Diceros bicornis minor: one gene and its partners. The protein of the gene in region 1 purifies or fractionates together with the protein of each later gene. This does not show direct contact. Links are inferred from orthologs where the notes say so. Each region holds a gene or a part of one and is shown in the gene's direction. Other genes may lie near its edges. The genes, in order: SRPK2, SRRM1, PNN and YTHDC1.

Evidence for each region.
Region 2: the proteins of SRPK2 (region 1) and SRRM1 purify together in Homo sapiens (affinity purification with mass spectrometry; 3 studies listed by BioGRID and IntAct, with this or other methods). This does not show direct contact. The link is inferred for Diceros bicornis minor from reciprocal best matches to the Homo sapiens genes SRPK2 and SRRM1.
Region 3: the proteins of SRPK2 (region 1) and PNN purify together in Homo sapiens (affinity purification with mass spectrometry; 3 studies listed by BioGRID and IntAct, with this or other methods). This does not show direct contact. The link is inferred for Diceros bicornis minor from reciprocal best matches to the Homo sapiens genes SRPK2 and PNN.
Region 4: the proteins of SRPK2 (region 1) and YTHDC1 purify together in Homo sapiens (affinity purification with mass spectrometry; 4 studies listed by BioGRID and IntAct, with this or other methods). This does not show direct contact. The link is inferred for Diceros bicornis minor from reciprocal best matches to the Homo sapiens genes SRPK2 and YTHDC1.

Annotation. Positions count from the first base shown.
Region 1 is NC_080742.1:12,839,330-12,847,270, forward strand, and holds the start of SRPK2 (SRSF protein kinase 2), read left to right. Parts: upstream 1-4,949; coding exon 4,950-4,979; intron 4,980-5,387; exon of another isoform or gene 5,388-5,434; coding exon of another isoform or gene 5,435-5,450; intron 5,451-5,544; coding exon 5,545-5,599; intron 5,600-7,941. UniProt on the Homo sapiens protein: Serine/arginine-rich protein-specific kinase which specifically phosphorylates its substrates at serine residues located in regions rich in arginine/serine dipeptides, known as RS domains and is involved in the phosphorylation of SR splicing factors and the regulation of splicing.
Region 2 is NC_080752.1:40,888,716-40,896,370, forward strand, and holds the start of SRRM1 (serine/arginine repetitive matrix protein 1), read left to right. Parts: upstream 1-4,652; 5' UTR 4,653-4,718; coding exon 4,719-4,739; intron 4,740-5,056; exon of another isoform or gene 5,057-5,111; intron 5,112-7,655. UniProt on the Homo sapiens protein: Part of pre- and post-splicing multiprotein mRNP complexes. As a component of the minor spliceosome, involved in the splicing of U12-type introns in pre-mRNAs. Involved in numerous pre-mRNA processing events.
Region 3 is NC_080744.1:10,963,168-10,971,014, reverse strand, and holds the start of PNN (pinin), read left to right. Parts: upstream 1-4,844; 5' UTR 4,845-4,889; coding exon 4,890-5,002; intron 5,003-5,640; coding exon 5,641-5,712; intron 5,713-6,106; coding exon 6,107-6,175; intron 6,176-6,678; coding exon 6,679-6,751; intron 6,752-6,866; coding exon 6,867-6,961; intron 6,962-7,121; coding exon 7,122-7,197; intron 7,198-7,847. Other genes in the region: TRAPPC6B (trafficking protein particle complex subunit 6B), read right to left, coding at 1,552-1,878. UniProt on the Homo sapiens protein: Transcriptional activator binding to the E-box 1 core sequence of the E-cadherin promoter gene; the core-binding sequence is 5'CAGGTG-3'. Capable of reversing CTBP1-mediated transcription repression.
Region 4 is NC_080747.1:54,209,685-54,216,571, forward strand, and holds the start of YTHDC1 (YTH domain-containing protein 1), read left to right. Parts: upstream 1-3,869; 5' UTR 3,870-4,210; coding exon 4,211-4,238; intron 4,239-4,489; coding exon 4,490-4,552; intron 4,553-6,887. UniProt on the Homo sapiens protein: Regulator of alternative splicing that specifically recognizes and binds N6-methyladenosine (m6A)-containing RNAs.

The DNA of each region.
Region 1 (7,941 bases):
CTAAACACGTTCCCAACAGGTTGCTGTTTTGTTTTGATTCTTCTTGTCATAGACACTATTGCCATCCAGTAAATATAATATATATTTCACATATTTACTTTGTTTATTTTCTGTCTTCTGGCAGTAGAATGTCCCACGAGGGCAGGGAGAGTCTTGTGTGCTTTGTTCACTGCTGTAGACTCAATACCTTGAATAATGCCAGCTGCATAGCAGGTGTTTGAGAAATATTTGTTGAACAAATGGACGCAAAGAGATGGGGTGTGATTTCCCAACTAATGTTAATGGTAATTACCATTTATTGAATATTTACTTTCCTTATTTGATTATCACATTGATCTAGCAGGATTGGTATTAATATTATTACCGTTTCCCAGATGTTGTAATTAAGTAACTTGCCCAAGGTTATGCAGAAATTAAGAGGCAGAAATGGGTTTCAACATTAAGCTAAGTGAAAGAAGCCAGTCACAAAAGGCCACATAGTATATGATTGCATTTATATGATCTGTCCAGAATAGGCAGGGCTATAGAGACAGGAGATTAGTGGTTGCCTAGGCCTTGAGCAAGGGGAGGTTGGGGGAAATGGGGAGTGACTGCTAATGGTTATGGAGGTTCTTTTATGGGTGACAAAATGTTTTAAAATTAGATTGTTGTGGTGGTTGCACAACAATCCTAAAAAACATTGCCTTTTGTACTTTAAATGTGTTGATTGTATGGTATGTGAATTATATCTCAGTAAAGCTATTAAAAATAATAAAAGAAACTGGTTTTAAAATCGGATTTCTTTGGCTTCAAAGCTTTTAATCACCTTCTAGAAGGAGTCAAGACCAGCAAAATGGCTGGTTCTGAGACCCAGTTAGGGAAAGCACAAAGTTTCCTGGAACATCTTGTGCCAGAAAGTGAAGAGGTGCTCAAAAACTGATTGGGATGTGTCCGAAGGACACTAAAAGTTGAAAGTGTCTTCCCTGGTCAAGTATGGGGCAATTCAAGAATCAAAAATCAAAGTGACAGTAATTACTGTCAATATTGAAACCAAAAATAAAAACAAAAAACAAGCCAAAAACAAACAGAGAACAAAGGGGTGGCAGGAGAAATGAAAGCTCTTCTTTACATAAGAATGTCACCTAATTAACATAGATGGAACAGATGGAATGTTAGGATTATAATATTATTATTCTACAACCACTATAGTAACAATTGATTCAGGCAAGCATCATCAATGGGTGCTAACCCATAGAGTGAAGATTCTTGGGGAAGGATACTCACATGGTCTCAAAATATTACCCCACAGAACCATAAAACAAAATCATGGTGAAATTCACATAACATAAAGTTAATCATTTTAGAATGAACAATTCAGTGGCATTTACTACATTTACAATGTTGTGCCACCACCACCTCTATCTAGCTCCAAAACATTTTCTCAGTACAAAATAAAACCCCGGACCCATGATGCAGTTGCTCCGCGTTTCCCCTCCCCCAAGCCACTGGCTACCACCAATCTGCTTTCTGCAGATTTGCTTGTTCCTGATGTTTCATGTAAATGGAGTGGTACAATATATGACCTTTTGTGTCTAGCTTCTTTCACTCGGCAGACTGTTTTTGAGGTTCATCCACGTTGTAGCATGTATCAGTTCTTTAGTCCTTTTTATGGCTGAAAAATATTTCATTGTATGTCTATACCACAATTTATCCATTCATGTGTTGATGGATATTTGGGTTGTTTCTAACCTTTTGGCTACTGTGATCAGTGCTGCTATGAACGGTTGCACACAAGGATTTGTTTGAGTACCTGTTTTCAATTCTTCTGAATATATACTTAAGAGTAGAATTGCTAATAATCCTATATTTAGCTTTTTGCAGAACTGTGGAACTGTTTTCCACAGTGATTGCATCCTTTTACATTCTCACCAGCAATGTACGAGGATTCCAATGTCTCTACATCCTTGCCATCACTTAGTTTCCATTAAAAAAAATTGTAGTCATCCTAGTAGGTGTGAAGTGGTATCTCATTGTGATGTTGCTTTGCATTTCTCCAGTGATGATGAGCATCTTTGTTTCTCTTCTTTGGAGAAATGTCTATTCAAGTCCTTTGCCCATTTTTTTTTTTTTACGTACATAAGTATATTATACATTTTATCTGTATAAAACCGTAAAATAGCACACAATTTACAAATCATACTAAAATATACAATCCTTTTTATTGTAAATTCTACAGCACCAATTGTTCTCTAGAATGTTTTTTTTTCCTTTTGTCGAGGAAGATTGGCCCCGAGCTAACAGGCAACACCTGTTGCCAACCTTCCTCTTTTTGCTTGAGGAAGAGTGGCCTGAGCTAACACCTGTGCCCATCTTTCTCTATTTTGTATGTGGATTGCCACGACAGCAATGGCTTGGTGAGAGGTGTAGGTCTAAGCCCAGGATCTGAACCCGTGAACCCGGCCGACAAAGCAGAGAGCAGTGAACATAACCACTATGCCACTGGGCCAGCCCCCTAGAATGCTTTCTTTGATTTTTGCCAACCGTTACATCTGTAGCCAACCTGTGGTTACAATTCATCCAGGATTTGAGAAAATCAGACCATGAACAAATGCTTGATTACTATCTGATTCCACAAGAAGTCCTTCATGTCACCGACTCTTGAGTATAGTTCCGACATAAATGTTGGTTGATGTTTTCATTTACACTCAAGAGTGAGATGAAAGGACAAGAGTGAAGCACATGTTGAATCTTAACTCATCCGCCAAGGATATCGAGTGACCTTGTTGGCTGAATTGGATGATAGTTTTCCAACACTGGAAGAATGTTCCTCGAGGTTCTGTGCTGTTCACAGTGTAACAGCTACAGACATGACAAACTTTTTTTTTTTAATTATTTTATTGCGGTCATAATGGTTTATAACATTGTGTAATTTCAAGTGTACATTATCATTTATCAGTTTCTGTATAGACTGCATTGTGCTCACTACCAATACTCTAATTTTTATCTTTCACCATACGTATGCGCCCCTTTACCCCTTTCACCCACCCCCCATCTCCCTTCCCCTCTGGTAAGCACTGATTTGCCTTCTTTGTCCATGTGTTACTTTATCTTCCACATATGACTGAAATCATGTGGTGTTTGTCTTTCTCCGTCTGGCTTATTTTGCTTAACATAATACCCTCAAGGTCCATCCATGTTGTTGCAAATGTGATGATGGCGTCTTTTTTTTTTTTGGTGAGGAAGATCGGCCCTGAGCTAACATCTGTTGCTGATGTTCCTCTTTTTGCTGAGGAAGATTAGCCCCGAGCTAAGATCTGTGCCAATCTTCCTCTATTTCGTATATGAGATGCTGCCACAGCATGGCTTGATGAGTGGTGCATAAGTCTGTGCCCAGGATCTGAACCTGCTAACCCCAGGTTGCCGAAGCGGAGTGTGCAAACTTAACCACTATGCCACTGGGCTGGCCCCATGATTGTGTCATTTTTATGGCTGAGTAGTATTCCATCGTATATATACACCACATCTTTATCCATTCATCAGTTGATGTCCTTTGCCCATTTTTTACACAGATTACTTTTTAAATACAAAGAAAAAAAGGTACTTTTACCATGGAGAAATGATTAAATGCAACATCACCAATAATGGAACAAACAGACATCAAAGCCCTCCTGATGCAATTTACTAAGACCAACACAACATCATCTATGATAGTGTACCTGAGAAAATTATGTAACTTCAATCTAAGGGGGAACAGATGAATACAAACTGAGGAACATTCTGCAAAACAGTAGAACTGGATTCTTCAAAAAAGTCAATGTTATAAGAAAAAACAAAACCGGGCATTATTCTATACGAAAGGAGCTTAAAAAGATGTGACAACTAAATGCAATGCATGGTCCTTGATTGTATCTTGGGTTGGAGAAAAAGTCAGCTAAAAGGGATATTTTGAAAATTTGAACATGACCTCTGTATGTTACAGATAATAGTATTATATTAATAAAATTCCTTGGAATGATAACAGTATCTGATTAAGTAGGAGACTATCTTTGTCTCAGGAGATACTTACTGAAATATTTAGGGGTAAAGGGTAACACTATCTGCAAAAAACTCATGATTCAGCAAAAACAACTCTCCCCCCCCAACACAGGGAAAGCAAATGCAGCGAAATGTTAAAAACTGGTGAATATGGGTTAATATGGGTGTTCATTATGTTTTTCTCATAGCTTTTCTGTAGGTTTGATGTTTTTGAAAATAAAAAGTTGAGAAAGTAAAAAGCTCTTTAATTCCAAGCAGCGCCTTCTGTTCTGTTGGGTTTAGCATCTTTAGAATAAGACTAGCTACTTTGATCAGTTAAGAATAGAGTTGTATAGCCAAAGAGAGAGTAAATGGTCAGGATGAATATCTTTCAAAAATATTATCAGTATTTAAATAAACAAAGGAACACTGCAGTTATCATTTTGTCCCACTATCAAGTTGATTCACATCTTAATTAGGAAGCATGATACGTGGAGAGTTTGGACTGAGTTAGGCCTAGATTTCAGTCATTGCTGGGTAAACTGCTTAACCTCTCTAGGACTCAGTTTCTTCATTGTAAGATGGAGAAAATAACTACTTGGTGGTTGTGGTGGTGTGTTAAATTGTTATACACGTGGTATTCATTGAACTGGGCTTTAATTCACGTGCGAAAGCTTCATCCTTCTTTCCACGCTATTTGCATCTTTTCCTTCATTAAACTCAAGCAGTCCTGCGGGGTAGGTAAACGTGTGAGATAAGATGACTTCTCCAAGGTCACATAGCTAGTGAAAGGACCCAGGTTTCCCAGTTCTTGGTCCTGTGCCCTTTCCACACCCGCCGGAGAGGAGGAGCGGCGCTCATGGGGATGCAAGGATGTAGGGGAGCAAAGGGGGAGAAAAGGCCGCGCGAAGAGAGGTGGTGTGAGACCCGCGGAGGCGCGGGCCAAGGAAGGGCGCATGGAGAGACGGGCGGCGCGACTGGCCGGAGTGCGTAGGGGAGAGGCCGCGGCTGCGAGGGAGGGTCGCGCGGGCCGGGTGCCCGGGAGAGGCGGGAGGCCTGGGCCCGCCGCGGGGGCGCTGGAGGCGGAGGCCTGCCGCGGGCTGGGGAGGGGGAGGTCGGGGACGGGACTGGCGGTGGTCGCGGGGGGTCGCTTCGCACAGGTGGGCCCGGCGGGCGGGTGCGGGACACACGGGAGGGGCCCGGCGCTGGGGTCCCAAGCTCACCGGGCGGGTGGGGGCGGGGCGGGGGCGGGGCCGGGCGGAGGCGGGTCTTGCCGGGCCCCCCGCGGGAGCGGCGGCGGCGGCGGCGCAGGCGCGGTTCCCGCCTCCTCCCGGCCGGCGGAGCGAGTGGAGGCTGCAGTCCGGCTCGGCTCGGCACCGCGTCGCCGCCGCCGCCGCCGCCGCCGCCGCGAAGCCCCCCGCCCGCCCTCCGCCGCGTCGGGATGAGCTCCCGGAAAGGTGAGTGGCCCGCGGCGTTCGCTCCTGCCCGCCACGCGGCCCCGCGGGCCGGCCGGCCGGCCCGACCGTTAATGTGTGTCTTCTCTTTCCCCAGTGCTGGCCATTCAGGCCCGAAAGCGGAGGCCGAAAAGAGAGAAACATCCGAAAAAGTGAGTCCACGCTGCGCTCGCCCCCGGGCCCCCGGCCCCGCCGGTCGGGCGCAGCCCGCGGTCGCGCCGGGGAAAGTTGCCCCGCTCCCAGGGCCGGAGGCGGGCCGGTCCCCCGGGACGCCGGCGCTCGCCTCCTGCGCGCCCCGCGGGCGGCGGGCGGGGGAGGGGCGCGCGAGCCCGCGGCCGGCCCGCCGAGCATCCCCGGCCCCCGGCCCCCAGTCGCCGCTGCGGCCGTCGAGGGCGGGCGGGCGGGCGGGGAGGCGCCGGGCGTGCGCACCCTCCCCGGCGCGCCGAGCCGGCCCGGGGTCGGCACCTTCCCAGGAGGGGCGCTGGCGCCCGGCGCGCCGTGTGCGGGCGCGAGGCTGCTGCGTGGCTCCCACCTGGGCGCGCGGGCCCCAGAGGAAGAGGAGCCGCGTACGTAAGAGAGTGTGAGTGTGTGTGTGTGTCGCCTCCTCTTCCTCCCCGGCCCCCGCCTCTCGGCCTTTCTGCCGAAAACCCGAGCTGGTTGTCAAGTGGTTTGCCTCGGGCGTGTTCCTGGCGCGAGTTCAGCTCCGAGACCCGTGCGTGTCGGCGCTCGGGTTTTTATTCGAAACTTTCTGCTCGGGCCGAGCGTGACTTGGCTGCGCGGCGGCCGCGCCGGGTTGCGGGCTGGTGGGGCCGGTGGGCGTGTGCGCGGGCGGCCCCGCGCGGCTTCCCAGCCCGCATTGTGCTGGGGAGTTGATGGATGGGGTGGTGATATTTAAAACGTGCCAGTCGCCAGCCACCTCCAGCATGGCTGCGGACCGGAGGGGGAGCGGCCGGCGCCCGAGAAGCCTTTCCTGGAGAACTGCTCCGAGACCGCAGCGCCGCGGCCTCTCTCCTTTTCCTTCTTTCATTCCTAATTTAAGAAAATCCGCCAGCGTTCAACATCTTTACTCCTTCTAGATGTGTGGCTTCGCTTTTCCTTTTGAGCAAGAAATACAGGCAAGGTATTTTTGGTACTTTGGGGAATGATAGTCCATGATCATCTTTAAATAAAATCCCGAAGCATTTCTTGTTTCCTTTAGAGGACTACCCTGCAGCATTCCTAGGCTTTTTCCCTTCCTGTTCGCCTTGATCTCTGCCTAGCGAATTTCATACCCGTTGGTAGCATCTGTGCAAACTGCCTAAGTCATTGCTAACGTGGTGGTATAGCATGACAGGATTTTTGTTCATTCAAAACGGAATATAACTTGAAAGTATTTTTAGGATTTCACAAAACGTGGATATCGACATAATGATGCCTTTCTTAAGAAAGAAACTATTAGAGTGAGGGAAAAGTACTTATTAAGGACTTGAGGAACTGGTGGGTAAAAATTGGATATTGGATTCTTAAGACGTTAAAACAGAATGGATATTTGGTAGTTTTAGATGCCTTAAAAAATTAGTGCTAGCTCTCAAGTCAATCAGAACCTTAAATTTGGGATTTCCTTTGGTGAATGACAGAAGTTTAGCCTATAAGTGGGGAGAACTGTAATGTTTAGGATCCGGAGTATTGGGTTTTAATCACAACTTTCATTTCAAAGCATTTATTTCCGCATAGCCCATTATGTTCAGAAACATAAAAAGGAGGTGAAAAAAGCATGTCCCCAGTTTTGGGGATGGCTGTGTGTATGTGTGTGTGTATACACATATATATATAAAATCTATATGTGTGTATATTATGTATATATATGCATACATGTAGAAAAACAGTTTTAGTTGAGTAGGTCAGTGTGTGTTTCATATTTCAAGGTATGACTTTCCTAATGGCCAAGAGCCTTTTTTGTTGTGTCGCAGTTTGCATGTATGTGGTATGTTTATAAAGAATTAGCATATAGCCACATTAACGTTTGCCTCACGGATTAATCTATCAGTTTCTTCCATTGTTTGTTGTATTTATGTAATAAGATTGGAGGGAAACCCCCCCAACCAAGGACTGAATGACCTGGTTGGTCAGCAAGGTAATTAGTAAGGGGAGACCAGCCCAATTACATAACTGTTTGATTGAGGCAATGTCATTTTTCACTTAATTTTTTGAATCAAGACATTATTTTAAAGGGATGCCTGATGTGATATATTTATTCATATATTCCACAGGCTTTTTGCATGCCTTTCCTAGGAGACTGACAGAGCTTTGAACAAGGCAGACAGAGCTCCTCATGAAGCTTACGTTCTGGGGGGCTGGGGGGACCCCAAAAAGGATGAGAAGTAAAGATGACAGCTTCAGATAGCGCTAAGGGATAGGGAGAACATTAAGATGGGGCGCCTTAAGTAATAGTGACAGATGACATTTGAACACTGTGCCAGTCACTGTGTTGACTGTTTTATGTGTGTTTATCCCT
Region 2 (7,655 bases), on another chromosome or scaffold:
TGTACTTAGTTTTTCAGGCACCACTATATTTGTTATGGTGATCTGTGATCAGCAATCTTTGACGTTACTATTGTAATTGTTTTGGGATGCCATGAACTGTGCCCATATAAGACGAACTTGATGTGTTGTGTGTGTTCTGATGGCTCCACCAACCAGCCGTCCCCTCATCTCTCTCCCTCTCCTCAGGGCCCCCTATTCCCTGAGACACAACAATATTGAAATTAGGCCAGTTAATAACCCAACAATGGCCTCTAAGTGTTCAAGTGAAAGGAAGAGTCATACATCTCTCACTTTAAATCAAAAGCTAGAAATGATTATTAGTGAGTAAGGCGTGTCAAAAGCTGAGACAGGCCAAAAGCTAGGCCTCTTGAGCCAGTTAGCCAAGTTGTGAATGCAAAGGAAAAGTTCTTGAAGGAAATTACTCCAGTGAACACATGAATGATAAGAAAGCAAAACAGCCGTATGGTTGATATGGAGAAAGTTTTAGTGATCTGGATAGATGATCACACCAGCCACAACATTCCTTTAAGCCAAAGACTAATCCAGAGCAAGGCCCTAACTCTCTTCAATTCTATGAAGGCTGAGAGAGGTGAGGAAGCTGCAGAAGAAAAGTTTGAAGCTGGCAGAACTTGGTTCATGAGGTTTAAGAAAAGAAGCCATCTCCATAACATAAAAGTGCAAGGTGAAGCAGGAAGTGCTGACGTAGAAACTGCAGTAAGTTATCCGGAATATCTAGCTAAGATAATTAATGAAGATGTCTACACTAAACAATAGATTTTCAATGTAGACAAAATAGCCTTATATTCGAAGATGATGACATCTAGGACTTTCATAGCTAGAGAGGAAAAATCAATGCCTGGCTTCAAAGCTTCGAAAGACAGGCTGACTCTCTCTCTCTCTCTCTTTTTTTTTTTTTTGGTGAGGAAGATTAGCCCTGAGCTAACATCTGTTGTTAATCCTCCTCTTTTTGCTGAGGAAGCTAGGTCCTGAGCTAACATCTGTGCCTATCTTCCCCTATTTTATGTAGGACCCCTGCCACAGCATAGCTTGATGAGCAGTGCATAGGTCCACACCTGGGATCCAAACCTGTGAACCCCAGGCCACCAAAGTGGAGTGTGCGAACTTAACCACTACACCACTGGGCCGGCCCCTGGCTGACTCTCTTGTTAGGGGCTAATGCAGCTGGTGACTTTAAGCTGAAGTCAATGTTCATTTACCATTCTGAAAATCCTAGGGCCCTTAAGAATTATGTTAAATCTACTCTGTCTGTGCTCTATAAATGGAACTATGAAGGCTGGATGTCAGCACATCTGTTTTCAACACGGTTTACTGAATATTTTAAGCCTAATGTTGAGAGCTATTGCTCAGAAAAGATTCCTTTCAAAATATTACTGATCATTGACAATGCACCTGGTCACCCAAGAGCTCTGATGGAGATGTACAATGAGATTAACGTTGTTTTCATACCTGCTAACACAACATCCACTCTGCAGCCCATGGATCAAGGGGTAATTTCAACTTTCAAGTCTTATTATTTAAGAAATACATTTCACAAGGTTTTAGCTGCCATAGATAGTGATTCCTCTGATGAATCTGAGCAAAGTAAATTGAAAACCTTCTGGAAAGGATTCACCATTCTAGATGCCATTAAGAACATCTGTGATTCATGAGAAAAAGTCAAAATAACAATATTACCAGGAGTTTGGAAGAAGTTGATTCCAACCCTCATGGATGACTTTGAGGGGTTCAAGACTTCAGTGGAGGAACTAACTGCAGATGTGGTGGAAACAGCAAGAGAACTAGAATTAGAGGTGGAGCCTGAAGATGTGACTGAATTGCTGTAATCTCATGATAAAACTTTAATGGATGAGGAGTTGCTTCTCATGGATGAGCAAAGAAAGTAATTTCTGGAGATGAGATCTTCTCCTGATGAAGACGCTGTGAAGACTGTTGAAATCACAATAAAAGATTTAGAATATTATATAAACTTAGTTGAAAAAGCAGCAGCAGGGTTTGAGAGGATTGATTCTAATTTTGAAAGATGTTCCACTATGGGTAAAATGCTATCAAACAGCATTGCGTGCTACAGAGAAATCATTTGTGAAAGGATGAGTCAGTCGATGTGGCAAACTTCATTGTTGCCTTATTTTAAGAAATTGCCGCAGCTGCCCCAATCTTCAGCAACCACCACTCTGATGGGTCAGCAGCCAGCAACATCAAGGCAAGACCCTCCACCAGCAAAAAGGTTACGACTCACTGAAGGCTCAGGATATGCAAGTGAATGTCAGCAGGAAGTTGAAAATATTAGGTCTGGGGCAGACTTGTGCCTGAGATATACAGGTTTGGGAGATGAAAAGATAATTGAAACCAAGGGTCAATGACAGAACCTCAAGGAAAACCAGCATTTACAAAATTGGCAGCAAAAGAGCAGAGACAGTGAAGGAAGTATAAAACAGAACAACCGATCAGAATCATAGAGAACAGTCAGTGAGATGTGGGGCACTGTGATTTCATAGTTGTTCTATAGAAGCCAGCCACTTCCCCTAACTTTGACCTCTGACAAAGCTTTCATTCAGCAAATTTTACTGAGCCTACACTATGGGCCAGACACTGTTCTAGGTGTTAGGGACACACCAGTTAACAAAAAAAGACAGAAAGCCCTGACTTTCGCGAGCTTAAATTCTAGTGTGGGGAACAGATAATAAACAAACATTAAAAATAGATAAACAGGGCTGGCCCTGTGGCTTAGCGGTTGAGAGCACGCGCTCCGCTGCTGGCGGCCCGGTTCCAATCCCGGGTGCGCACCGATGCACCGCTTCTCTGGCCATGCTGAGGCCGCATCCCACATACAGCAACTAGAAGATGTGCAACTATGACATACAACTATCAACTGTGGTTTTGGGGGGAAAAATAAATAAATAAAATCTTTAAAAAAAATAGATAAACAAATATTTGGCGATAAATGCGACAGAAAAAAAGAGGGTAGATTAAGAGGCATCTGAGATATAGAAAGGGTGTGTGAGCAATTTCCTAAAGGGCAGTCAGGGTAGGCCTCATGGAGTAGGTGACATTTGAGTAAAAACTTGAAATTTGCCAAATAGATATCTCGGGGTAGAGCATTCCAGGCAGAAGTTACCAGCAGCACCAAAGTCTTGAGGCAGGAGCAAGCCTAGGAAGTTGAAGCAGTGAGCAGTGTTAGGGTACTAGGAGACGAGATCAAGGAAGAAACGTGGGGGCATCGGGTAGGATTTTGGCTTTTGCTCTGAGAACAAGGAGGGACTATTAGAAGGTTTTGAGCTTAGGAGCGACAGGTCTAAGGTTTTCTAGTAAGATCCCTCTGCTGCATTTAGGATAGACGCTGAGTGGCAAGGGTAGAAGCAGGCAGACGGCGAAGAGGCCAGCGCAGAAGTTCAGACAAAAGATGACGGTGCCTTGAACCGGGGTTCTAGCAGTGGGTTTCCCGATGGCTTAGAAGTAAGAGAAAGAGGAGTCAAGAGTAACACCAAGGCTTGTGTCCTCAACAAAAGGAAAGATACCGCCATCAACTGAGGCAGGGGAGGCTTCGGGAGGAGCAGGTCGCATCCGGGGGTGGGCGGCGGTGAGACCAGGGTAGGGAGGAACCAGTTCAGTTCCTGGTCATGTCAAGTTTGGGGTGTCTATCCACACTCTACGAGTTTGAAGTTGGGGCGAGAAGTCCGAGCTGAAGAGAGAGGGCAGTCGTCAGCAGAGTCGGTATCTAAAGGCACGAGAGAGAACAAATGTAGTTTCAGGTGTGATGACTGTCCTGAAGAAAAGGCAGGAACGGGGGACGAGTGTTTGTGTGGGCGGGCACTTGACAAAAGACGGCCACGGAAGGGACACAGGCTTTCTCTGAGAAAGAAGGCGCTCGGCGGGAATCTGGCGCCATCCTCCCGCGCTGGAGGCCCCCCGACAGGGCAGGGCTGAGGGGGCCGAGGCCACGCCGCGGGGCGGCTCGCTGCTTCTCCCGCAGAGCCCTGCGGGGGGCCCGCTCATCGGCTTCCCGCCCGTTAGCGCGGTTGCCAGGCAGCCGAAACCGAAACTCTTCTAATGGGCATTTCCAGCTTCTCCCGAACACGACCGAGTTGTGTGGGGATGGGGGGAAACTGGGCCGGAACGCAGATTTCACTGAGACTGCACCGCTCTACTTTAGAGCCGATCGTAATAACCGGTAAACTCGTAAAACCAACACAATCACAATTTTCGCAATGACAGCGGAGGCCGCAGGCTTCTCTTCTGCGCACCGGCCGCCTCCCCAGCGTCACTCTGAGGTAACAGCCTTTCTCCTCAATCGCTCCACGGAACCCCCAGGGCGGGAGGCCTCCTCCACTACGGGTCGAAGGAGGGCTCAAGTCACGCTGCGCGAACAGGGCTGGTCCAGCGCCACAAAAGGATTCGCAGGGCGGGGCGCCCCGACGACTCTCTCTCTTGCTCCCATTGGCTGCGGTCGCGAGGCTCTCCTCCCGGACTGGCTACTGCGGAGCCTCGGAGCCCGGCAGCTGCCCGCCATCTGGGCGCGCGTGCGCACGCGTGGCGGGCGCGCACCACACTGAGCAGGCGCGGCCTCGTGTCGGCTGGAGGGGCGGGCGGAGCGGCGCGCGCTGCGTCCCGGCGCTCGGCTTTCCCTGCCGGTCCCGCCCTCCGTCGCGGCGGCGCGGTGCACCCTGGGACAGGGAGCGATCTCCGAGCGAGGCAGCAAGATGGACGCGGGATTCTTCCGCGTAAGTAGAAGCGCGGGGACCTGGGGTGAGGTGAGGCACTTACTGGCGAGGCCTGGCAGGAGGCTCAGACTTGGGACGGAGCGGGCAGCGAGGGGAGGCTTCGAAGAGCCTGAGGATCCTCGGCGCCCGCGGACGCCCCCCTGCCCTGCGGCGAGACCGGTGCGCCCCTGCGCAGTCTCCTCCTCCGGGATCGTCCCCCCTACGCGGCGGCGACGGTCGCCGGAAAATGGCGGCGGGAATGGGCCGGAGGGGCCCCTCGCCGTCCGCCGGCCTGGCGGGGCCTGCACGCCGAGCCGCGCGCGCCGCCGAGTCCCGGGCCTAGCGGAGCCGCGAGGAGGAAGTCCGGGGGGGAGGCCGCGGGGCAGCCCGGAGGTGACTGGCGGCGGGAGGCCCTGGGCACGGTTTGGGGGTGCCGCCCCGGGAGAGCGTGGTAGAGCACAGGAAACAGCGTCGGGCGTCTTTTCTTGAGAAAGCGGGCCCCGACCCCCCTCCCCCGCCGGCCTCCCCCTGGTCCTGAGCCTTCGCGAAGGCGCGGGGTCAGAGTTCGCGAGAGCTCCCGCCCAATTTAATACCCTGCGGGGAGGGGAACTCAGATGATACGTAGTTGGAACGTTTGAATCGGGGACTGAGGGCAGAGGGCGCAACAAAAGTGTGCGCGTGTGCGGAGGCAGGGTACAGGGTGATCGCCTCCTCTCCTTCCCGCTCGCTCCCTCCCCCCCTTCTTTCTTTCTTTTTTTTAAACTCTTGAAGTCCGCTGGAGAAAACGTGCCTCTTACCTAGGTTCTGCCGGGCTGCTCGCCCATCACCTGCAGGCGGGGAAGTTACCTCGCCGCGCGTAGTTGGTCCTCAGGGGCCAGAGTATCAGGCTCGTGCTGGCGCCTGTTTGTCTCGTCTTTTAGGAAATGAGCACCCAGTCGAGATCTGGACGGGTGCGAAGTGGCACTAACAGGACTAGACTTTGCAGATTCTCTTAAAGCACAACGGACCACATAGAGACCAGTGGGTCCAAGTCAAAATGTATGCTTTATGTAGGGTAGGGTTGTCTCTTTCCATTCCCCGGAGCATATTATGCAGTTTGTACGTGTGTGTTTAAAGGAAAAGTGGAAGAGGGGAACACCAGGACTTGGTTAAGATATCTCTTGACACTCCAAAGCTGGCGTTGAAATTCCTCTTTAATTGGCTTTCAGTGTGCCAATTAGTTTTTCATCAAAAGTTGGAATGTTATTCCCATAGTTGACTTAAAACAGCCAGTTATTTGACGGTTCTTAGGTTATGCAAACAGTATTGTAGTTATTTATGTAATGATAGTTTCAGTTGAGAGAGCTTATCAAATTATCACACTGCGGATGAACACTCCATTTTGTAATTTCCATCAAAGTATTTTGTAGTAAATACTCAATATTTCCTGGGGTCTGAATGTAATAATTTGAAACAAAAGCCTGTGATTTTTTTGGTTGTTTCCCATGGAAAGGAGTTCCGGTAGAAAAAGAGCAAGGTGGTTGATAAATTTAAAAATGAAGTTTGCTTTTGGTGTTGGTAAAAGTCTGAAAGAAAAGGATGCAGTTTTTTATATACCGCCTATAATTCCTTAGATGAGTTGACTGGATGTAAGCTTCGAGGTAAAAGATTTTAGGGTAGTTATCTTTTTAGTACAGTGCCAGCCAGGGTAGTAAACTGACATTTTCGGTTAAGATAGAAATGATAGATTAGAAGTGATGGATTGCATTTGTTGAAATCTGCCACATGCCAGTGACTTTACATGTATCATTTCTGATATACACACTCCTGCAACTAAAGAAACATCCTCAGAGAGGTTAAGTAACTTGCTTTGAGGTCATATGGCTTAAGTAGTGGCAGAGTTGAGATTCTTATCCAGGTCCTTTACCTTCCCGAACAAAATTTTCTTGATCACTTTCCAAGGGACAGTGACCAACTCAGTGAACCAATCAGTAGATTTTGTATCAGATGGCTAGTTATTTCCAGGTTTAATTGGGCCAGTAGGAATGACAAAATGTAGACTAGTGATCACTTGATGGTCTAATGTAGTATTTGTAAGTTCTTATTTTTCCAAATTTTTCGCTGAAATTGATTTTATGAAGGTAAACCTATATTTTTCATGCATTTCAAGTTCTTAAAGTTGTGGAAAACTAAACACAGCACAGGCCTAGGGAGTTTTTTCCTTTTTCCCCTTATATGCATTGCCACAATAATTTTGCAAACATGCTACTGGCTTTCAGAAGAGGATGAAACTTAACGGTCTTGTTTGAAGGCATATGTTAAGCGTAGTAAATATTACAACATGTTCTCGTTTATTTTTTTAAGCAATTTTTATTGAGGAAGATTGGCCCTGCGCTAACATCTGTTGCCAGTCTTCCTCTTTTTTCCCTTTTCTCCCCAAAGCCCCAATGCACAGTTGTGTACTATAGTGTAGAGTTGTAGCTCTTCTATATGGGACCCCACCTTAGCATGGCCTGATAAGCAGTGCGGGGGTCCACGCCCAGGATCCGAACCAGTAAACCCAGGGCCGCTGAAGTGGAATGGGTGAACTTCAACGGCTGTGCTGGCCCCAGTGTGTTCTCATTTAAACCAAACAGCCTTAAATCTCCATTAGCCTAGAAAAAGGTATAGAAAGATGCACATCAAACTTGGTTGTGGGGGAGGTGTTAGCATTATGTTGTATGCTGCTATATTGTTTGACTTGTTACAATGAGCATGTATTTTGTAATTTTTAAATACAGTTTTCAAAATATCAGCTGCATTGGGAAGAGAGTATACATTCTGTACCTATGAATATTAGCTATGGTGTTTCTATTTACTTGATTACCCTATTTCGACTGTAAAGGTCATAGCCATCAGTAGCTGATAAAAAGTAGGAATTTAACTTTGAACTCTTAATTAAAATGTATTTCTCTTCCT
Region 3 (7,847 bases), on another chromosome or scaffold:
TCACAAGTTTTAAATTGTGCCGTTCTGTGTAGTGTGACGAAATCTCACGCTGTTTAGCTCTGTCCAGCCCAGACCTGAATCATCACTTTCTCCAGCAGATCCACGCTGTATTCGCTACCTGCCCATTAGCCACTTAGTAGCCATCTAGGTTATCAGATCAGCAGGCGAGTATGTCAGTGCTTCTGTTCAAGTAACCCCTATTTTACCTAATAAAGGCCCCAAAGTGCAAGAGTAGTGATGCTGGCAATTCAGTTACGCCCAAGAGAAGCCAAAAAGCGCTTCCTTAAGTGAAAAGGTAAAAGTTCTGGACTTAATAAGGAAAGAAAAAAATCATATGCTGAGGTTGCTAAGATCTATGGTAATTTTTAATACAGTATATTGTTATAATTTTTCTATTTTATTACTTATTGTTGTTAATCTCTTACTGTGCCTAATTTATAAATTAAACTTTATCATAGGTATGTATGAATAGGAAAAAACATAATACATATAGGGTTCTGTACTATCTGTGGTTTCAGACCTCCACTGGGGGTCTTAGAACGTATCCCCTCAGGAAAGTGAGGCAAAACTGTATTTAAATACACCACTCTTTCATACCTCTATGCCTTTACCTTTGCCTAGGATGCTTTTCCTATTCTCACTTTCCACTCCTCTTTATCAATAGCATTATAGAAAGGGCTTCTGATTTGAGCGTGACTTTGGAATATCTCATTTATAAAATCTGTTAAAACTCCATGATTCTATAGCTAATTATACCCAATATGTTAATTATTCATTGAACCCCTATTCCCCAACAACTGTGAGGCAGAGGTTTTATCTTATTCATCTAGCACAGTGTCAGGGCCACAATACACACCTAATAAATATTTTCTGAATAAATCAAAGAGTGAACGAGGACTCCCACATTTTAGAAGTAACCTCCACGAGGATGGGGCCATTGTTTCGTTCTTTAATATATCCCCAACACCCAGAACTAGCTCTGACATATAACGGGCACTAAATAAAAGGTTTTTTTTGAATTAATTAAACTTGTGTTTCCTAATTACAGTAACGCCTGCAAACTTTCTTTTGCTATGACCTCAAATCTCACTAGCCTTCTGTCTTCGAGCTGCGTGGAGGGATATCACTGTTATGGATGAGGAGAGAGCGACAGGATTCTCAGGCTGGGACCTGTCTGTCCAGCGCACGGCCCGGAAGTGCGGGAAGTGACAGCAGAAGTAAAATCAGTGACAGCCAAAATCGGCTGTGCAGTTAACCCTGCCGTAAATCACGGCAGGGGCAACAAACACTAAAAGTAAGACCAATCTGTGGCCTGCAGGACACAGACTGGGAATGGACAAAAAAGCATCAAACAGGAGAAGACGCGAAAGGGAAGAGGATGCAAGACTGAAGACAGCTGACGGGCTCTCGGGCTTAGGATACCCGGAGGCGGACCGATGTGTCTACACCTCGGGAGAGGCTGGGTGGCGACGGGACAGGGGTTGAGGGAAAGAACTGGGGAAACGAGGAGTGTCACGCAGAAGGACCGCAAGCGCGTGTGGCAGCACTCACCACCTCCCCCTGCTCCGCAGACTTGTACACTCCAGACACCATCTCGCTATGCAGAAGCAAAAACAACGCCTCATCCGCCATCGCCTGCTTATTCTTCCGAGCTCCGGTTCCGGCTCCCGTTGGGCCGGCTCGGGGTTCCGGCTGGCGCCCGAGCGAGCTGGACCGGGCCGCTCCCTCAGTCCGCAGCCCGTCCCTCGTTGCTAGGAGACACAGGAACTCACTCGGCTTCCGGACGGCTGGTACCGGCGGGAACCCGGTACCGGGGCGGCCCACCCCCGGGCCACTGAGCCCTCGGGCCCAACAAGAGAGACTGACAGCGGCAGGCATCCAACCCGGCCCGCGGAGACCCGACCCGGCCGCGGGGCGGGGACGAAGGAACAACTTCCGGTCCCCTCTACCCCGGCATTCCGCCAGCTCTATGGTCACAGAGTTCCTCCTCGGGGTGAATGCCGGCGCCCAGACAGCCGGGAGGGTCCTCCCGCGTAGGATGTCGGAAGTCGGGTGGGTAAAGTAAAACAAAAGGAACTCCCACTGCCGTCTCTGTTAATTAGCTCTGAGTTGGAACTGACGTGAATTTCTATTAGCTTCACCAAAAACTTCCACTTCTGCCATATGTTCCTCAATAAGAAAAGTTGTAAAAAGTGAATAAATCATCATTTTTCAGGCTATACATTTTATATATATTGAGAAATTAGCCCAATCCACTGTGGATTAAGCCTGCCTATGCAACAAGATTTAGAGCCATGTTGGCCGCCAGAAAGTTTACTGGAAGCGGGGTGTAAGGAACAAGGAGGATGGAATAAGCAAAGAACAAGATATATTTGAACCAGAAATTAGAAATTATCAGAGGATTGGGTGAACAGAAAAGTGCTAAACACTTCAGAAAAGTGACGTCACAGTGGGACGGAGTTCATAAGAATCTATGCCGGATATGGTACTAACTCCTACAGAGGAGCAAACACATATGTTAGCTCATATGCATCTCTTCAATTTGGCAATCTCTGGCTTAAACGTGTTGCTTAGCCTGTGATGAGTTCTTTTCTTAGTAATCCACAAGGCAGATTTTTTTCCAATTAATTCATTGCTTCCCCCAAATTAACATATTGAGTTTCCTCAAATTGTTAACAATAACCTCTCAACTCTTCATACCCTTTCACAGAAATTTAAGATCATGTTCCATAATTGGAATTATGGCAGCTTTTTTTTTTTTTCTTACGTTTGGATGTAACGTTCTAATGTTTGGATCAGTTTATTTGATCATCACATAAATCAAGCATAAAAGTTCCACTTAAGCCTTTGAAAACGCTGAATAGTATAGCTTTGAAAAGTATTTTGCAACCATAATCTTAATTTTTCCAGCACTAAAATTTCCCATATGCGAAATCAGGTCTTTTATGTCCTGATTGCATTCTCCGTTCATCACCACCGTCAAGGAACAGAAGTCCAAGCCCACCAGCGAGGTCAAAGAATAAGGAATTGACCAAGTTACTAAGGTTGATTTCTCAAAGTACAGTAACGTCGAGTTCTTATAATATTTTGGAGAATAGAGGGGAAACTAATATTTATTCAGCACCTACTAAATGTTGAACACAGCATCCCACTGATTCTCCCCTATAAAGCAGACTGTGTTAAATTGCCCAGGATCCTACTAACAGATCCTATGGAAGTAGGAATAGATCCCATGTTTTTGGTTAACTCTAAAAGCATTTTCCCTTGGAAACATGGATACACTCGGTGGTTAGGATCCACCATCACCACATTCTCGTGCTTTGTGTACTGCTTACTACACGGGGTTGTAATAAGGATCAATGAGACTATGTATGCTCACAACCAGAATTAGATAATTGTCAACCCTCATCCCTCTTACCCAGCTTTACTTTTTCTTTTTTCTATAGCACTTCTTGATTTCTAACATGCAATGTCATTTACTTAAGTTTGTCGTCCGTCTCCACACTCTTCTGCCACGAAGCTCCTTGAGGGCAGAGATCTTTATTGTACATTGATGTATCCAAGTGCCTAGGACAATGCCTGGCACATAGCAGACGCTCAATAAATATTTGTTGAATGAATGAATGAGTATATGAATGATCTTTGCTCCCTGAGGGGCCTACAAACCCCACGGAAGCAGGACCACAGCTATCTTGTTCTAGGCTTTTATCCTTAGAGCCTAGCTTAGTGCCTCTACACAGCAGGAGTTTCTAAAGATGGGTGGATGAATTAAAAGGGTAACTGTAACTCCAGTTAAATACAGTTGGCTCGCTAATGCTTGGTGCAAGGAGGATGCTTAGCTGACAGATGGAGGATGAGAACCCGAAGATTATACATAATATTGCTTCTGCGCGGAAATGCTTTCTGGGCTATAATTTGCAAATATATTTCTGGAACAAAACCGGTTCTCACGTTGGCAGCGCAGCTACAGCGGAACCAGAAGCTGGATGACACTCTCACACACACACATCTAACAACAGTGCCTCTCCCCCAGGCCCCATCTTAAACCAACCAGCTCTAGGCCAAGTGTAGAGGTGTAGGGACTAAGGCCTGTCTCGTCTGTCTCACCATCGCTTTTTTCTTCTAGCACATCCTTGCACAGCGTCTGATTGGACGGTGATTATCGGCTGGCGCGACCTCGCTACAGTTACAGTGTCTCCAGACTCAATGTCCTTATCGGTTATAACAGGCATGTGATTCAAGCTTTTGGTTTGTGAGGGATAAGGCATGTAAAGCGTTTCACACAAAAAACAAAATAACTGTCAGGTATTACGATTAATGACTTTTCCTGTACCTCCATTCTCTGCTTCCCTCTGCTCATCCTGGTTTCACCTAATCGAGGGAAGCCTGCGCCCCGCAACCCCTCTCTGGGCATGCGCACCAACAGAATGGCCGCACCCTGTCCTAATGAAATCATTTACCCGGGAAGAGGGGTAAACAGGCTCCATCCCACCCTGATGTAATCAGAAGGTTAAAAAGGATTTAAGGCACGTCATATCACAGGCTACAAGGGCCAGAAAACTCCGAGCGCCCCGCCAGAAGAGCAAGCCCTGGAGCCCACGTCTCCCACAACCCAGGGACTCTCAGGCCCGCCCCAGCCCTGCGCTGGACGCGGAGCGCAGCCACCCGCAGCTCGCTGGGGAGGGAGGTGACCACCTGGCCGACTTTTCATTGGCCCAGAGTCACGAAGGCCGGCAGGTTCTCCCTCTTCCGGTCGCTGAGTGGTTGAGGCCGAAAAACAACGCTTGTTGTCATTGGCTGAGGCCAGCTGTCAATCCGCTCGCGTCTCGCGGCGCGACCCGGCCAGGCGCGGCCTGTGGAGCAGTCTCGAAGCCTGCTGCGGGGAGAAGATGGCGGTCGCAGTGAGAACTTTGCAGGAGCAGCTGGAAAAGGCCAAAGAGAGCCTAAAGAACGTGGACGAGAATATTCGCAAGCTCACCGGGCGGGATCCGAATGATGTGAGGTAAGGGGCGGACGGACAATGCCGGCTCCGAGGGGTAGCCAACAGGCCGGGGTGAACCGGGAGGGCGGCCAGCCTGAGACGGCTGGAGCGTCGAGGCCTGGGCCGGGGCGGCGGTGGAACCCGGCCTCGGGGAGGGGGCGTCCTAAGGCCCCCGCCGTGGGTCCCCCGGCTCAGCTGTGTGAGGAAGGAGCGCGGGGCCGGGTCGCGCCGGGATGACTTCCCGGCCTGTGCGGAGCCCGGACCGCCGGTTCCCGCCCTCGGCCTGCAGGCCCGGAACTGCAGCACAAAGCCCCTGCCCCCCCTGGCCTCGGCCGCCCCGAGCCCTCCCGGGACGCGGCCCGCCGTCTCGCCGCGGCCTCCTGCCCCACGTGCACCTTCCTTGGGGTTGGCGACATTAGGACCTCGTTAATATGCGGTAGCATCGAGGTGAATGTAATTTCTGATAGTGATCTGGGAAAAACAAGGAAGTTAAATAAGATGGTACTTCCTGCCCTGTTTCAAACACGTGGATTCGAAACCGTCTTTTTAGAACTTTTCTGGTTATTTTCTCTTTATGATGAACCGCACCCGTGGAAGTGTTTGGTGCCGTTAGATGTGTGCACATGTGGTTTTTGTACTGATTTGTGAATCTCTTGTAGGCCCATCCAAGCCAGATTGCTGGCCCTTTCTGGTCCTGGTGGAGGTAGAGGACGTGGTAGTTTATTGCTGAGGTAAGGTTTCCTTAGGACTTAATTCGTATGCTAAGACTTGGTGCTTACTATACTAAGCTAACGTATTGGTTTAAACAAAACTCGTGTTAGAAACGTTTGTGTTTGTTTTGTTTAAAGCTGTGATCAGGTGTAGCTTTCTGTATAGTTATCCTGGAATTTCATTTATATGCAAAACTAGAGATTGAAGAATATCTTAATCGTGCTAGTTTTCTGTAAACTTAATTTAATTTTGTAGCTTTTAAAAAAATGCTATAAAAGTATCTTGGAGTGAATGCCCATTTAAAGTTGTTTTAATTAGAAGCATTTTTAAAAGTTTAACTGAATTCTCCTGCTGAATGGAAATATCATTTATCTTAAATTTCAACTGCTTTATGTTGGACTTCTTGAACTGCAGGCGTGGATTCTCAGATAGTGGAGGAGGACCCCCAGCCAAGCAGAGAGACCTTGAAGGGGCAGTCAGTAGGTATGTTGGAGGAAAAGATTCTGAAGGTATACTTGTGTGCTCTGTGTTCTGAGGTAGCATACAAATATAAATATTGTTGAATTGAGCTGTGTTAGAATTGAGTAGTATACCATTTCCTGAGTCTGTTCCCTTGGTATTTGACTGGACTGAGAAAGCCAGTATTCCTCAGAACTCAATTTTTCACTAAACGGTAACAGAAATTTTACCAAAATAAAGGTCATGAGAAGAATAAAGATTGAGAAAATAGTCAATCTGTGCCACTTTTCTGTCTGGTACTATAAAAATTTAACCAGCTTGAGAAATATATTGTAGGAGATCAGTTCGGATTTAGCATTGATGATAACATTTTATCCTTTCACTACCAGAGGAAGGAGTAAAATGGGATTGGAGATGGATAGAATGAGGCTTCTAGAAGTGAGTCCTAGAAAGAGTAGTCATTTGTCCTTGGCATGCACTTAAGTCAAATTCTACAATGGTGGTTTAAATTCTTTTTCCTATATCAGGCTGGGCGGGGAGCGTCGGACTCGGAGAGAATCACGCCAAGAAAGCGACCCAGAGGACGATGATGTTAAGAAGGTAGTTGAGATTAAAAGAACTTCTTTGAGGATGAATATAGTTTTTCACTTTACTACGTTTAAAAGAGTGTCACCCGTGCACTAGTAAAATTACTGAGATTTCTTTTCTCCTGCAGCCGGCTTTGCAGTCTTCAGTTGTAGCTACCTCCAAAGAGCGCACACGTAGAGACCTTATCCAGGATCAAAATATGGACGAAAAGGGAAAGCAAAGGTATCTTCAGTATCCTTCTGGGGGAAAGAACTGTCAAATAGTGCAATTTTAAGAAAATTCGAGGCATTGTTCAAGTGCCTGTAGTATGTTTCTTTTAGGAAATGGCAGGCTTACATGAAGTGGAACATTGAAATTGAATTTTCTTTTTTCTGTTGTTTAGGAACCGACGAATATTTGGCTTGTTGATGGGCACACTTCAGAAATTTAAACAAGAATCCACTGTTGCTACTGAAAGGGTATTTATGCAGCTTTTCCTTTTCTTTTATTTGTTACCAAAGTAGTTGATTACATGTTTTTAAAAAGAGCTGAAGAGCTCTTATAAGACTTCATTGCCCAAAATGAAGCCAAGGAAAAACTTATAAAACTTTCTGGAGTTGTGTTGTTAACCGGTCTTTTTTTGAGGTGCTGTGAAGTAACTGAGTGAACTTCTCTTTGTAGTGCAAAGAGCCCTGGTCTCTGAGTCAGGAGAACCTGGATTCTGTTCTGAGCTCTGTTACGATCTCATTTCCTGGTCTTGGACAAGTCGCTTTGTTTCTTTAGGCCTGAGAGTGCTTTCTCTCATATAGGAGAGTTGACTTCAATCATTGTAACTAGTTCAGTAATTCTAATTTTTAAGACTTATTTACACACTCAGAGGCAGTACTTAGCACTCTAGAAGCAAAAGCATAAACATTCCCCGACCTCTACAGTTTATTTAACTGTGTCATCTTTCCAGAAGTTTTTATTTTACTGAAGCTACAAGATTGTGTCCTCGGAGTTGAACACCAAATTATTACTTCTCAGGGGAGAACTACAGTAGAAAGGAAGATAACAATTTAGTTATAGGGGATTAATAAAATTTTATTTCAGCTTTTGTGTGTTAACTTTACTAGAGAATTGAAAAGGC
Region 4 (6,887 bases), on another chromosome or scaffold:
GGTTGTAAAATGGTGATGTCCTAGTTCTGTCATTGCTTCACCCTAGCCATATATTACCTGGAATAATTCTATGAAGAGAAACTTCCCTTCATCAACTACTTGCTTGGTAACCCTGAGATACAGTTCTAATTGCAAACACAGGATGAATGATTTCTCTTTGTTTGCTAGTTTTCAAAATAATGAACTGGTTCCCTAGCATCATCCAAAGAGGACTGATGAATTTTTTTGAACTATTATGAATTCATGGATTTAAACATACTTGATATGTTTCAAGCCAACGCAGTTTTATCTTTACAGTGCTTAAAATGTCCATATTTGGCCAGTGGGAGCCATTTTAGTTAGGAACTCTTCTGAGTCATTTTGACAGGACCTTAGCATTCATTGATCACTGCTGTCTGGTATGACAAGATGTTCTAGGTTCATATTATACATTTGCTTTCCCTATATTGATATTCTCTAAGACTCTGGACTGAGTCTCCTTTACTCTTCACTCTACATAATCTTCCCAGGGCAACAGAACTCAACTACCAATTTTTTTTTTCTTTGATGAGGAAGATAGGCCCTGACCTAACATCTGTTGCCAATTTTCCTCTTTTTGCTTGAGGAAGATTGTCCCTGAGTTAACACCTGTGCCAATCTTCCTCTATTTTGTGTATGGAACACCACCACAGAATGGCTTGATGAGCAGTATGTAGGTCTGCACCGGGGATCCAAATGCAGGAACCCTGGGCCGCTGAAGTGGAGCACGCAAACTTAACCACTAGACCATTGGGCCGGCCCTGCCAATTTTTTTTCCTGAATCCACACACTTGAGAGATATACACTCCAATCAGTAATATTGGCCAGGAGTAAGGCAATTTAGAGGCATGGTGGAGGCCAAGCCTCACTGGAAGTTGTGTGCCCTGATTAAAAGCATTAAACTTCAATAAAAGCATACACTGTACTGGTTCACGGAAAGTCTTAGGTCAGCAGGCACCAGTCTGCAACCTATGCTATATGACCTGGTCCTGGCCTGATTTAAAACTGAATATTGTGAAAAATATGTTTCACAGACTCTATTTTGTTCTCTTCCTCTGAGAGGTGCTGATCATCTTGAACTTGTGTGAGCTTGGTTTTACACTTTATGGGTGCCCATCTGTGGAAAGCCCAAGACATTTTCCATTCCCACTCTCCAGTGGGCTCAACCTGGAGATTCTCTCTGCAAAGCTTGTACTGCTTTTGTTTCAGGCTGGGTCCTGATTAGGCCCTTACTCCTAAGGTGTGTCCTGTCCCTCAAACATTATCTCAGCTACTTGCCCTCTCATTGTCTGGGGTCCAGCTCATTGGCATTCTCCTTAGATCCTTGACCACACTAAAGCCTCTTTCTCCCTCAGAACCTTTGTTACGTGCTGTTCTCTGCCTGGAAGACTCTTACCTCCACCTTTTATAGGTATCAGTCTCAACTTCACCTCTTCAGAGAGGGCTTTACCGGTTTTTCTACATAAAAAGTCCTTCTGCCTCATCATATTAGCCTTTTATTTGTTTCTTTCCTAGAATTCATCACATGTAATTGTTTACTTATGCCCTGTCGCCCTAACTAGAACATAAACCTGAACTCCTTGAAGAGAGAAACCAGATCCTATACTATATATGTATATTAACTCTGGAATCTATAACAATATAGGACTGAATAGGAATTTAATAAATACTAGTTGACTGAACTAATAAATGAGTAGAACATTACATTATAATGCTTTTCTTGATTCAGTCTCTTCTTACCTAACCACTGAATATCGACTTGAATTGAACTATGGGCAGCTTTGCCACCTAGGACCTTTGCTTACGTGAAAACTATCCTTCTAACATTACCCTTGCCCTTTCTCCCTCTCACCTAGGCTAATATTTGTTTAGTTCTCAACTAGGCTTTATTTTCCCTTCTTCAGAAAGGGAACCCCCCTTGTTACCCCCCATCACTCTGAGTGACATGCCTCTAAGGATTCCAATATCCTGAGAGTATGCTACATGATGCAGTAATATCAAGTGGGTGGGGGCTAGAGCCAAATTGCCTGGATTTGAGCCATGTTTCTTACTACTACTTGTGACTTTGGGCACTTTAATTTCACATTACTTCACTTTCCATTTATGTAAAATAGAGCTAGTAATCTAATTGCATTTTTGGAAGAGGAAATCAGATCGTATACTTCAAGTGCTCAGAACAGTACCTGGCACACACAGTAAGAACACACAATTTTAACCATTATTCTTACACGACATCAATACAAACAATCCATAATAAATCTATAAAACAACTTGGGGTGAGTTTATCATATGAGCCCGTGTGAGAACCACATAGCCCTGGAAGGCGCCTTCACCAAGGAAGGAAGTACTCCAAAGAAGTGAAGTGTACAGCATGGTTATATACCATCTTGAAACAAAGAACATATATCAAATATGACAGGAATCTCTTTTACTACAGTCACAAGCTGTTTTGCTAGCACAGCAGGTCAGTGGTAACAAGATAAACACAGCAGGTCACAAGATGTACACAGTAGGTCAGTTTGACCCTTAGTTTCTGGGACAAAGTGCTTATCTCTAAAAAAAACGCTGATATGGGGGGAGGCATACATCCTTATCTTTAAATGCATCATTCTTTGCTTTGTAAATGTTTAAAGCAGATGTACAATGCATGCTTCACAGGCTATGACACGCCTTCCTGGAAAAACAAGGTCAGGCCAAACTAGTTTTAAACCAAGTGGCTTCCTTATATACTCTGTCTGTCTGTCTGTCTCTATATATACTTTTCTTATTGCTTTTCATTTATTTCTCAACATTAATTTCCTATTGTCTCTTCCCTATATTATATTGAACATTCTTTAAAGACAGAAATACTATTCTATTCACCCTTGATTCCTAAGCATCTAACACATAGCTGGGTGTTATGTTTACTTGTTTTTCCTTCTCTTTTTTCCCTGCAAGCCTCCAACAGCTCCAAACAAATCTCTTTTAGTGTTTTTCCACTGCTTAAAATCTTCCCACTGCCTTTAGTTTGGTCTCAATTTGTTATAAAGGCCATCAAGGACCAAGAAACTCTAGATTATTTTTCTTTCTCTGAACATGCCATTGGTTTGTTTTTACATAACAATGTTACTTTTTTTTCAAATTTTCTTTCCCTTGTAAACTCAGTCATGGAGTAGTGAAGCAAAATTACATCTTTATTCTTTTGGATAATAAACTTTATGTACCTTTCACCATATTATTAGTTAAGTAGTTTTTGGTCACTTCTGTACTTTCAATTTCTCAATAGTCTCTTTAATCAACTGAGTACCCCAGGGCCTCAATAAATGTTTAAATCAAATTTGCTATTATGTGAATTACAAAGTTATATTAAAATACAATATAATTCCTTTCCCCAATTAAAAACAAAACTAGTATGCTTTTGTGACAAGTGAGCTAGTTGCATCCTGTGCTGCCTTTGAAGCCCGGGACACCAACTGTGAAAGTACAACTGCCATCCCTGCCGACTGCAAAGGCAAAGGCCCATACTTGTCCTAAATAAATCTCCGATTTCCAGAAGGGAATCAGGAGTAGCGCGGAGCGACACGAAGCATCTTCGCTCTTAGGCTGAAAAGTACGCGAATACCCGGTTCAGTCGAGAAAACTGCGCCACCTAGGCGTACACAGCACAGCAGCGGCTCGATTTAAATAACTCCGGCCGCTTAATCACTGGCAATGAGACTCTTTCCACGGACATCCGGGCTGCGGGGGGCGGGGCGACGTGCTGACGTTACGTCACGTTCCCTTGCTCGCCCTGCTTCCCCGCCTCTCTCCGCACTGTGACGTTCCCAGGGAGGAACGAAGCGTAAACAGCGCAGGGCATTTCGGGAGCGGGATTGTTTCGCGCAGGAAGCAGGCTCCATTTTAGCGCCGCCCGCTGTCGCCATCTGTTTCCCTTCCCTCCGCCTACCCGCTCCGGTCCCCTAGCCCCAACGGGAAGGCTTGGCCTAGGCCGCGGGAGATTGGAGCGAAAGGAGGGAAGGGGAAAAGGGAGAAGGGAAAGAAGCGGGGAGAAAAAGGGTGAGTCGAGAAGGGTGAGTGGTAGAGGCCCAGGAGCGAAGCGCGCAGCCCGGCGGACGGACTGACGGACGCCTCCGAGCTACTGCTGCCGCGGCTGCGGCGCCGGCGCGATTCGCGTCGAAGCGGCAGCGGCAGCAGCGGAAACAGGAGGGGAGCAATGGCGGCCGACAGCCGGGAGGAGAAAGGTTAGTGCGGAGGAAGGTGACGGGCGGAGGCGGGGCTCGGGAGTGGGTCGACGGAGCCGTGGTCGTCGTTGCCGCGTGGGGGTTGGGGGGGTTAGCCTGCTCCGCGCGGAGCGGGTCCCCCCGACCGAGACGCTTGCACTCATTGGAAAAGATCAGGCCTGCCCTTACGTCCTCGATCTCCCTATGACCTAACACTTATCTGGCCTATGGTTTTTCTTTGATCCTAATTCCCCTCTTCTTTTTCCGTTTAGCTGTTCTGGGCGCGGCTGGGACAAGGCCTGTTCTGAGTTGCAGGCCCTTAGGTTTATTTGCTGGTAAGATTATGCGGATGTAATGCATATCTTCAGAACAACCTTTTCTGGTAGGCGAAATTTCGAAAACCCTGAATGTCACGATCAGAGCTGGTAGTATAGTAAGTGAGCATATTTAAGAAGTGCTATAGGTGGATTATTAATCTCGAGAAATATCTATTAGTAACTTGTGGCTGTTCCTGTAAAATAGGTAAAGTGGCATGAATTGCCCGTTTGGCTCCTCAAACACTTATTTTAGAAAACAAGATGTTTGGAAGGGTAATTATATGATTTAGGCCTGGCAAAAAAAATCCTGGCCGCTATTCTGATAGAAACACATTGTGCTTAACTCCCGGAGAGTACAACCAGGAGCAAATGGATGTAATTTATAGAGAGTTGGAGGGATAGAATTACAGTGGAATATAGAAAGAACTGATGTTGCCAGAAAGGAGTGTCATGTTTTGTGAAATACCGATCTCCCAGGCTCTGGAGATGGAGATCCTGGATCAGTACCTGTCTAGAGGGTGGTCTGTATTAGATGGTGCCTTAAGGTCTTTTCCAACCCTAAGATTACCGAAAGATTATAGTTAAAAAAAATATGGCACAGCTGCTGCTCTTTATTTCACAGATCTACTCTTCTGTGTGGCTAGTAAATTTGGGGTGGGAATTTATTAAATGAGCTCTAGAATCAAGTTGCATTAGGCCTGTGATCTTTTCTCCTTAAAAGAAAGAAGTCTTCATGCTTCAATAAACTGCTGTAGGATAGGGACAAGCTTGGGAAGTGGAGTGGGTGGGAATATGTTTAAGATATTGCTCCTATCTTAAAGCAGTTCAATGATTAGGTTATGGTAGCTTAATTTTACTTCCTTAGACGAATCCTAGAAACCCCTTCTGCCCTTTTTTTGAGAAGTCTGAAAGGAATGTGAACATAGGATTGCATGGTGTTAGTGAATAAAAGAAACTGCTTTTAATTAGTAGTAAAGTTAGTTATTAAAATAGATGATTTTAATCAATAAGAATTCAGTCAATGCTTGATTCTGTCACTGTTATTTATGAGCTGTGTGTATGGGAATGGGTGGCAGTTATGGTGGGTGAGATGAACCAAATATAAAATGAGTAAAACTCAGCACTCCTCAAGAATTCGTTGTCTGTTAAGATGAACATAGTAATTTTAAGTCAGTAATAGACTAGACTCCATAATGTACATTGAGGAAGAAAAGTAGGTGGTGGTGTAGAAATTTTGTCAAAGAAGTGGATATAGTGATGAAAATGTAATCCAAATACTTAAACTTTATTATTGGGAAGTAGTAACGCTACCTATTAGCAGTACTTAGGATAAATTGTCCGGCTTTTGAAAGGCCTTGATTTGTGTAGTTTTTGAAAAACTTAATTTCCATAATTGAACTTCTCTATTTTAGAACTTCTGATATAAGTGCTTATCTTTATAGTTTAGATCGAAGATTGTCTCTTAGTTTACTGCGAAAGCTAGCAAATACAAACTTACTGGAATTGCTTGTTTAATTTTTGAGTAGCAGGATTTCTAGAATAATCCACTTTGCAAATAAGGAAACTGAGTCACACAGCTAGAATGATAGCCAGAATTAAAATCAGTACTTGACTCTTCCTTCTCATACTTGAACAAGGAAAAGTGGGAAACTAAGTACTTAGTGTCATCAGTTATCTTGTATGAAACATTAGGAAATGGCAAAGATAAACCTTGTAAGAATCTTAGACATGTCACAAACTTGAGGTCCGTTTTTAAATGATTACATAAATAATGTAAGATCTTGATCAGAAATGAGTTTAAATGGCAAGAATTTGCTATTAATCACAGAACAGTTAAAAGACTTGGTCATTGAGTCCTTGGATTATTGGGTTTTGTGCGTTAGCTGTGTAATAAACAGGCATTAACTTCTATAATGCTTCTGTAATACTAATACCTGGAAGCTGAAGCCTGTTATAACTGGACAGATTGCCAGCTTCCTTTGATTCCTGTGTTGATTATTTGTCCAAAAAGTGGATTTGAAAGACATTAGAATGTTGATGGTGTTAACTAATGTTAAATGCCATTTTTCTATATGCAGAAATACACATCTTTTTTATTATAAACACTTTGTATAAATTTTATTTCTTAAGCTCTTATAAAGTTCTCTTCAAAAAAGTTAATCAAAGTTTAATATATCCAAAATGTGGATAATAAGTTACCACTTTCAAAAGTAACATGTTTTCTACATTACTAGACTGGAAGCTTCATGAGGGTCAGGAGTATGTCTGTCTTGTTCATCAGGTTTCTTGTGTACAGTTATTGTGTCTCAGTTCCTTGAATAAATGATTACAAGGTTGTAAATCGTTAGCCCAA